2 linked regions of the Macaca mulatta genome follow. The protein of the gene in region 1 purifies or fractionates together with the protein of each later gene. This does not show direct contact. Links are inferred from orthologs where the notes say so. Each region holds a gene or a part of one and is shown on either strand. Other genes may lie near its edges.

Region 1 (3,811 bases):
TAAGCTGTTTGTTCTGGATGCTGGGGCGTCTGGGTCAAAGGACATGAAGGTGCTTCGAAATCATCTGCAAGAAATACGAAGCCAGATTGTTTCGGTAAGTACACCCTAGAGAGGGCCTGGACCCCTTTGTACTTCCTGGTTTGCCTTCAGTTTCAGGGAACTGTTTCATAGTAGGACCCAGTAAGAGGTGTCTGCCTGGACATGTTTTCATTCTAGTGCTCTGGGAAAAGAAAGGAAGACTAGAGAAACAAGGAGACGATGGGAGATAAAAGGTTATTAAGGGCAAAGGTGGACCACTTCAATTTTATGAAATTCTTACCAATTTATTGGTTTCTTTAAAAACACTTATTTTATTTTTTCAGAGACAGGATCTCACACTGTCATCCAGGCTGGAGTACAGTGGTGTGATCATAGCTCACTGTAGCCTTGAACTCCAGGGCTCAAGCAATCAGCCTGCCTCAGCCTCCCAAGTATCTAGGACTATAGGCACGCACCACCACGTCTGGCTAATTTTTTTGATTTTTGGTAGAGACAGGGTCTCACTGTGTTGCCCAGGCTGGTCTCAAACTCCTAGGCTTAGGTGTAAGCCACCATGTCTGGCCAATTAAACAAAAAAAAAAATTTCAAAAGTGACTTATTGTGGAATATTTTAAAAATTCAGAAAAGTAGAAAAACAGTCACAAACTTTTTTGAAAGACAGAAAAGAATAAATGAACAAAGGGAACGAGACTGCATTCTTGGGTTGTAAGATATGACTGAATATTTTATTTTCCCCTAGTTATATAAATGTAATACAATTTCAGTTAGCATCTGAATGGGTTGAGGGGATTGGGATTTTTATCTTAAAATTTCCATGGAAAAATTAATTGAACATATTATAAAGCCCCTGATAATCAATACAGCTAAATAGGAGGAAAAGCTTAGAGAGTGTAGAAGTAAATCATAATATCTTTAGAAATGTAATGGAAAATAAATATGTTATTTGAATTTAATGGGGTAAAGATTATTTAATAAATGAACCTGGCACAACTGGCTATTTGTCCGGAAGGAAATAAAGTTGGATTCCTACACCCTACAAAGTCCAAAAATAAATGGATTAAAACTTTTAAATGTAAAAACATAAAACAATAAATATCTTGAATAGAAATTGTGGAGAGTGTATTTTCAAAATAACTAGGGACTGAGGAAACCTGTTAAACCAAGATCTAAAACCCTAGAAATTTTAAAAGAAAATACATCTATTTGAAAATCTAAAAATTTTTTAAATTTTTTTCTGGCAAACAAGTAAACAAAGCTGAAAGGTGAAATAGGCTTGGAAAAAGCCTTCTCAATGCATTGGACAGATAAAGGGTCACATCATAATGCTCAAAAAGCTCTCCAGAATTGGTAAGAAAGGGGCAGGCATCCCAGTGGAGAAGTGGTGGCATTCACTCTGGACTCTTCCTGCTGCCCAGGCCTGAGGTCAAATGTGGGCAGATGCCTGTCTCTCTCTCTTACCTTTAAAGCTGCCTCTGGGTGTATCTCTCTCTCTTTTTTTTTTTTTTTTTTTTTTTAACTGCTTTGCTAATAGGAAAATGCTGTGCTTTCCACACCAGATTCGCGTTCCAGACATGCTTGCAGAATTCTCGGGAAACCCTTTCCTGCCTCCAGTAAACCCTGCCCTTCACACCAGATATCCTCTTTGGGGCATCCCCATTGTGGCATCATCAGAAGATAGGGGGTAGTCTGGTGAGGCCTGGGAGGAATCTGTCACAGAAACCGGGGCGGTGATCTGGGAACTAACAGTGATCTGTGAGGCCCCAGCGCTTCCCCACCAGGTCTGGATTGGGGCTGCATTCCTGAGGCAGGAGGGAATCCCTGGAGATTTTTGAGCTGGGCGCTGGCATGATCTGCTGCATCTCAGACAATCCCCCCGCCCAACCCCTAAACTCCTGAGCTCAGGCAGGTGGAGCCCACCATGTCAACTGCACTCACTCCTGAGAATTTTGTTTTTGAATGCAGAGTGGAATTTAGCTGACATGAAAGAATTTGAGAGGGGAGTGTGGAATTAACGGCACAGTGTAGCCTGTGGCTTGTGTGGTTTCTAATTCAGAGGTATGTGGATTGCATGAGTCTGTAACACAGGCTGATTTACTTAGCCAAGTTAAAAGGTTAAAAATCCACTTCAGCCTGTATACCAAGAATGGGTCTAATTGGAAACACTGTTTCAGCAACAGTCCCCATGAATGCCGAATTTACTGGTAAACACTCACTCTAATATTGATGATGATACTCATTCTCTTTTCCTCTGTTCATAAAATGATCATTGCCTGAGTGAAACAGTCACAAGAGGGAGAGAGAGCAAGGGAAGAAAGGCGGGAGGGAGGAAGAAATGAGGGAGTGAAACATTAGGAGTTGGTGAACATTAGTTGATTGAGTGACTGAGTCCACAGTTCCAAAACATTCCTGGAAGACTCAAAATCTATTTAACATGAACCAAAGAGCCTTTATAAAACTTTATATTTGCGCAATAGATTAGGCTTCAAGGCGAGTCTAAAAAACAACTGCCCCAGCACTCAACCCAAAAGGCACTAACTAGCTGGACGCAGTGGTGTGTACCTGTAGTCAGAGCTACTCAGGAGACGGAGACAAGAGGATTACTTGAGCCCAAGGGTTTGAGACCAACCTGGGCAATGGCGAGATCCAGTCTAAAAAAAGAAAAAAAACATAAACAACAACAAAAACAAATCTACTCATTCATCAGATCAAATCATATGCAAGGCGCCTGAATGAAAGGCGTCCTTTCCACTGTGGCTCTGCTCGGAGCACCCACAGCTGCAGGTGAGTTGACCTGTCCCGCCGTGCCCCTTCTAGGTCTGCCCTCCCATGACTCACCTGTGTGAGAAAATCATCTCCACGCTGCCTTCCTGGAGGAAGCTCAATGGACCCAACCAGCTGATGTCGCTGCAGCAGTTTGTGTACGACGTGCAGGACCAGCTGAACCCTCTGGCCAGCGAGGAGGACCTCAGGCATATTGCTCAGCAGCTCCACAGCACAGGCGAGGTGAGGCCCTGGGAGCCCAGGCAGGGGGCCATGAGAGGTACCAGGGACTCAGCCTGCCCCAAATTCCAGCTCTTGGAGGTGGTGTGAGCCTGGGGAAGCAGTGTGGAAATGGCCCAGCTACCTACAATATTTCCAGACGTGTGACAAACAGCCTCAAATGATGCTCTGAACTGCAGTTCTCGGCTCACCCTAGGAGCTGCCATTTTGTCTTGTGTTTTGCTTTTGTTTCCAGTGTTTTGCTTTTGTTTCCAGAGTCTGTTCGTTTGGGAGTGCAGTGCCCGCTGCCCTGGGTGACTGGGTCTCTCTTCACTCCCCCTGGGCACTGGGAGCTTAACCTGCTACTCCTGGCAGCCTTCAGGATGGCTGCCTTCTATCAGCATGGAGTTACCAGCTCCACACAGATCTCCTGGGCGCAAAAACAGTTGAGGAAGGCAGTAAGGTATCCTTGTGGAGACGATGTCTGGAGCCACAAAGACAGAGAACTCTAGTGCACAGATACACAGAGTAATCACAATTAGAGATGCACCTTAAAAAACTCTAGCAGGCAATGAATGCCCTGCAGAAATGATTGAGAATGGGAGGCTTTGCTCTGGTTCTGTGACATTCAGCACCGGGGCGTGGTTTGGAAACCCAGTTCTAATGGCATCATGTGCCTGTCCCCAGAAAGGGTGCAATGCCTTCACGTTTCTCCACAATGTGAAATCGGGAGCCTGCATGAACTAGTGTGGGCCAAGAAGAACAGTTCTGAATATTGCAACTAAAAGCAGCT
Region 2 (3,911 bases), on another chromosome or scaffold:
CAGACAGCAATACATTGTGGGGTTACATTTACCATTTCTTCCAATAGGGCTGGGCTGGTAACTACTGGAAAAATTGTAGCGATTATATTTATGGTTATTTCTTCAATCCCACCCGGCATAGGGTAAGCACCAGACTTGAGGCGGTGAGTCCTGGGGAGGCTTTGAGAAGGAAAAGGGCTTTGCCAACGGTTTGGTTGTCTGAGGGATGGGCTTGGGGACCATCCAGCCCCCGGGACTTCAGGGAAACTCCGGCTCCCAAACCAGCTGCCGTGTGCGTGGTCGGGGTCTTCCACACAGCTAGAAGGGGGCACAGCTGGGGACTCAGCTATATCTTCCAGCCGTCTTTGGGACATTTTCTTCCTTAGGATCAGGTGTGTCTTGCCCTGAATGTGAGGCCCTGCAGGGTCTGAATGTCTCAATTATTCCCCCAACACTCCAACCTCCATCTGGGCCTTTTTTCCAGGCTATTCTCTCTGCCTTCACTGCTGGGGCCACTGTCCTGTGTAGGCACCAAGGCCTGACCATGCCACCCGGAAGCCCCAACCTGGGACAACTCTCCCCCACCTGCCTCTGAGCCCTCCATGGTGACTCTTGTTCCCCAAACCTTATCCTTCTCCCCATTACACAGAAGGGAAAGCTAAGGCTCCGTCACTCAAATCCAAAGCCAGACGGACTCCAAGCCGTCCCACCCCTATCCCAGACAGCACAGGCCCCTGCTTTCCCCCATGGGTGCCCCTTGAAGGCCAGGTTGCCCCCACCCTCCACAAGCCTTAGATGGTGAAAAGAAGGAAGGCCAGTTCTCTTCACCCCAAGTCGGAAGTGGGACTGGAGGGGGGGTACCCTAGAGAAATGACATGCCGCTCCCTGTGCCAGCTTCTGCTTTCTGGCATGGCTGTGGTCAAGCCTGAGTCAGTCCCACGGGACCACGGAGCCGGGTCTGGAGCATCGGGCTCAGGAGCTTGAGGGGGAAGGATCAAGGGGCAGGACGTGGGGGTTGGGCGTGAGGGAGGTCACGGGCCAGGCTGGAGGGAGGGAACCTGGCCACACAGGGCTTGCCCACTCTCAGGGGGCTGAACATTTGTTACTCCCCCAACACCCCAGCCTCCATCCCATCCCCAGCCTCCATCCGACGTCACCCCGTTAGATCACAGGCCCACTCTGAGAGTGGGTCCCAGGCCTCAAGTCCCCTAGCCGCCCCCAGAAAGTCTAGGAGTGCATGGACACACCACCATTCCTCTCAGCCTCTTTGTGTCTATCTCAAAGACCCCACCTCACCTCCCCTAAAGGTCCTCTTGCGCCAGGGCTCACATGCCTAGGCAGGGCTGATTGCCAAGGGGCCCAGTGACCTCGTGACTGGGGACCCAGCACCTGGCAGGGGTGGGGGTGGGACACCCAGAGGGAGGAGTGGAGGAGGGAGGGACGCTGGCTCGGGGCCCAGGGGCGTGGGCACCGGGAGGCGGGCCCGGGTTAGGGTGGCCCTGGTTAAAGGCGCTCATTTCCCAGGCAGCCGCCCCAGCCGCCACACTTTTGCCCCGCAGCGATGTCCCTGTCGCCACTTCTGCTGTTCCTGCCACCGCTGCTGCTGCTGCTGGACGACCCCACGGCAGCGGTGCAGGCGTCCCCTCTGCAAACGTTAGACATCTTTGGGAATGGGCCGCCAGTTAACTACAAGGTAGGGACGGCGACAGGGCGGGCAGACTGGAGGGGACAGGCGCCCTGTCGGGGCAGGCGGCTCCTTCTTTCTCCCCAGACTTCACAGGGGAAGACCAGGGCCCCGACTGGAAAAACCCCGTTCATTTCCCGGCACTGCGGCCAGAGTCCCTCCGTGCCGTTTCGCTTTCGCATCCCGCATCTGAGACGCGCAGTTGCTTCCACCGCCTCGTCCCGCCCAAGGGTTCATTGAGCGCCTATTGTGTACTTTTGGGGCAGGAGCTGGGGTCTCCTTTTATGGTCCAGGGCACAAGTTCAGCAGCTGGCCGAGGGCCACCGGCATGCGTTCTTGCTGCTACCCCTGGTGCATTCATTCCAGCCAGGGCAGGGCTTGCGTGTCTCTGGGACCTATTAGGCAAATGCCCTAGAAGCTGAGCGACTTGCTCAGGGATCCAGCGACACGGGCCGCCCGCCACCCCTCAGCTGAAGCCGGAAGTCAGCACCTATTAGGTGCCGCCTCTGTTTGGTCGGACTTGGAAAGGGTTCACGTGGGTTCCTTGCTCAGCTCAGAGTCAAAGTCTCCTGGTGGAGTGGCAAGAAATGGGCATGGGCCAAGGCCGGAGGCGGTGGCTCACACCTGTAATCCCAGCACTTTGGGAGGCCGAGGCGGGCGGATCACGAGGTCAGGGGATCGAGACCATCCTGGCTAGGCTAATACGGTGAAACCCCGTCTCTACTAAAAATACAAAAAAATTAACCGGGTGTAGTGGCCGGCGCCTGTAGTCCCAGCTACTCGGGACTGTAGTCCCAGCTACTTGGGAGGCTGAGGCAGGACAATGGCGTGAACCCGGGAGGCGGAGCTTGCAGTGAGCCAAGATGGTGCCAGTGCACTCCAGCCTGGGCGACAGAGAGAGACGCTGTCTCAAAAAAAAAAAAAAAAAAAAAAAAAAAAAAAAAAAAAGTCTCAAAGTCAAGATTCCACCTGGCAAGTTCTGGAAGGTGTGCAAGATGAATTGCCTATGACAGCCCCCTTTCTACAAGAATACCAAGTGGGGTTCAGAGAAGTGGGGAACTGCCCAGGGCTACACCTGCCTCACACCCCTTCCTAATCCACAGATGGGCAATCTATACCTGCGGGGGCCCGTCAAGAAGTCCAACGCACCGCTTGTCAACGTGACCCTCTACTATGAAGCACTGTGCGGTGGCTGCCGCGCCTTCCTGGTCCGAGAGCTTTTCCCAACGTGGCTGATGGTCATGGAGATCCTCAATGTCACGCTGGTGCCCTACGGAAATGCACAGGTGCATGGGCGCTGGGGAAACTGAGGCACGTGGGCAGGGGAGCAGGGGACCCAGCCTGCCAGCCAGCTCTCACCCTGCTGCCTTGTAGGAACAAAATGTCAGCGGCAGATGGGAGTTCAAGTGCCAGCATGGAGAAGAGGAGTGCAAACTCAACAAGGTGGAGGTGAGCATCCCCAGGGCCCCACACCGGGGTGGGGGAAAACCGTCCGATGTACAGGAGGTAAATATGAGGATGCCAGCTCTGTCTTCTGCCTCGTGTGCTCCCATTTAATCACATCTTTATTCCCTATCTCCTGGGTGGGTACTGGTGATTATTACGAGAGGGTGTCAGGGTACCCTGGGCCCCCTTCATGCCCTCTCCTGCCCCCTCTCCAAACCCCAGGCCTGCCTGTTGGATATGCTTGACATGGATCTAGCCTTCCTGACCATTGTCTGCATGGAAGAGTTTGACGACATGGAGAAAAGTCTGCCACTAGTGAGTGACGCCCCTCACTCCCCACGAGGAGGGGGACAAGGGTGGTAACCTTCCCTACACCCAGGCAGACTCAAATTCAAGTCTCAGCCTTGACCACTGCTGTCTGTGCAGCCCAAGAAAACAACTACCCTTCTTTATTTTATTTATTTATTTATTTTTTTCTTGAGACGGAGTCTCGCTCTGTCACCCAGGCTGCAGTGCAGTGGCACAATCCCGGTTCACTGCAACCTCCACCTCCCGGGTTCAAGTGATTCTCCTGCCTCAGCCTCCTGAGTAGCTGGGATTACAGTTCTGTGCCACCATACCAGGCTAATTTTTGTATTTTTAGTAGAGACAGGGTTTTACCATGTTGGTTAGGCTTGTCTTGAACTCTTGACCTCGTGATCCGCCCGCCTAGGCCTCCCAAAGTGCTGGGATTACAGGCATGAGCTACTGGCTCTGTGCCCGGCCGTTTTTTTTTTTTTTGAAACAGGGTCTTGCTTTGTCA

The links.
Region 2: the proteins of DAPK1 (region 1) and IFI30 purify together in Homo sapiens (affinity purification with mass spectrometry; 3 studies listed by BioGRID and IntAct, counting the BioPlex papers as one, with this or other methods). This does not show direct contact. The link is inferred for Macaca mulatta from reciprocal best matches to the Homo sapiens genes DAPK1 and IFI30.

What each region holds. Positions count from the first base shown.
Region 1 is NC_133420.1:118,444,550-118,448,360, forward strand, and holds part of DAPK1 (death-associated protein kinase 1), read left to right. Parts: coding exon 1-94; intron 95-2,853; coding exon 2,854-3,042; intron 3,043-3,811. UniProt on the Homo sapiens protein: Calcium/calmodulin-dependent serine/threonine kinase involved in multiple cellular signaling pathways that trigger cell survival, apoptosis, and autophagy.
Region 2 is NC_133424.1:18,688,451-18,692,361, forward strand, and holds the start of IFI30 (gamma-interferon-inducible lysosomal thiol reductase), read left to right. Parts: upstream 1-1,511; 5' UTR 1,512-1,540; coding exon 1,541-1,672; intron 1,673-2,766; coding exon 2,767-2,949; intron 2,950-3,037; coding exon 3,038-3,112; intron 3,113-3,331; coding exon 3,332-3,424; intron 3,425-3,911. UniProt on the Homo sapiens protein: Lysosomal thiol reductase that can reduce protein disulfide bonds. May facilitate the complete unfolding of proteins destined for lysosomal degradation. Plays an important role in antigen processing.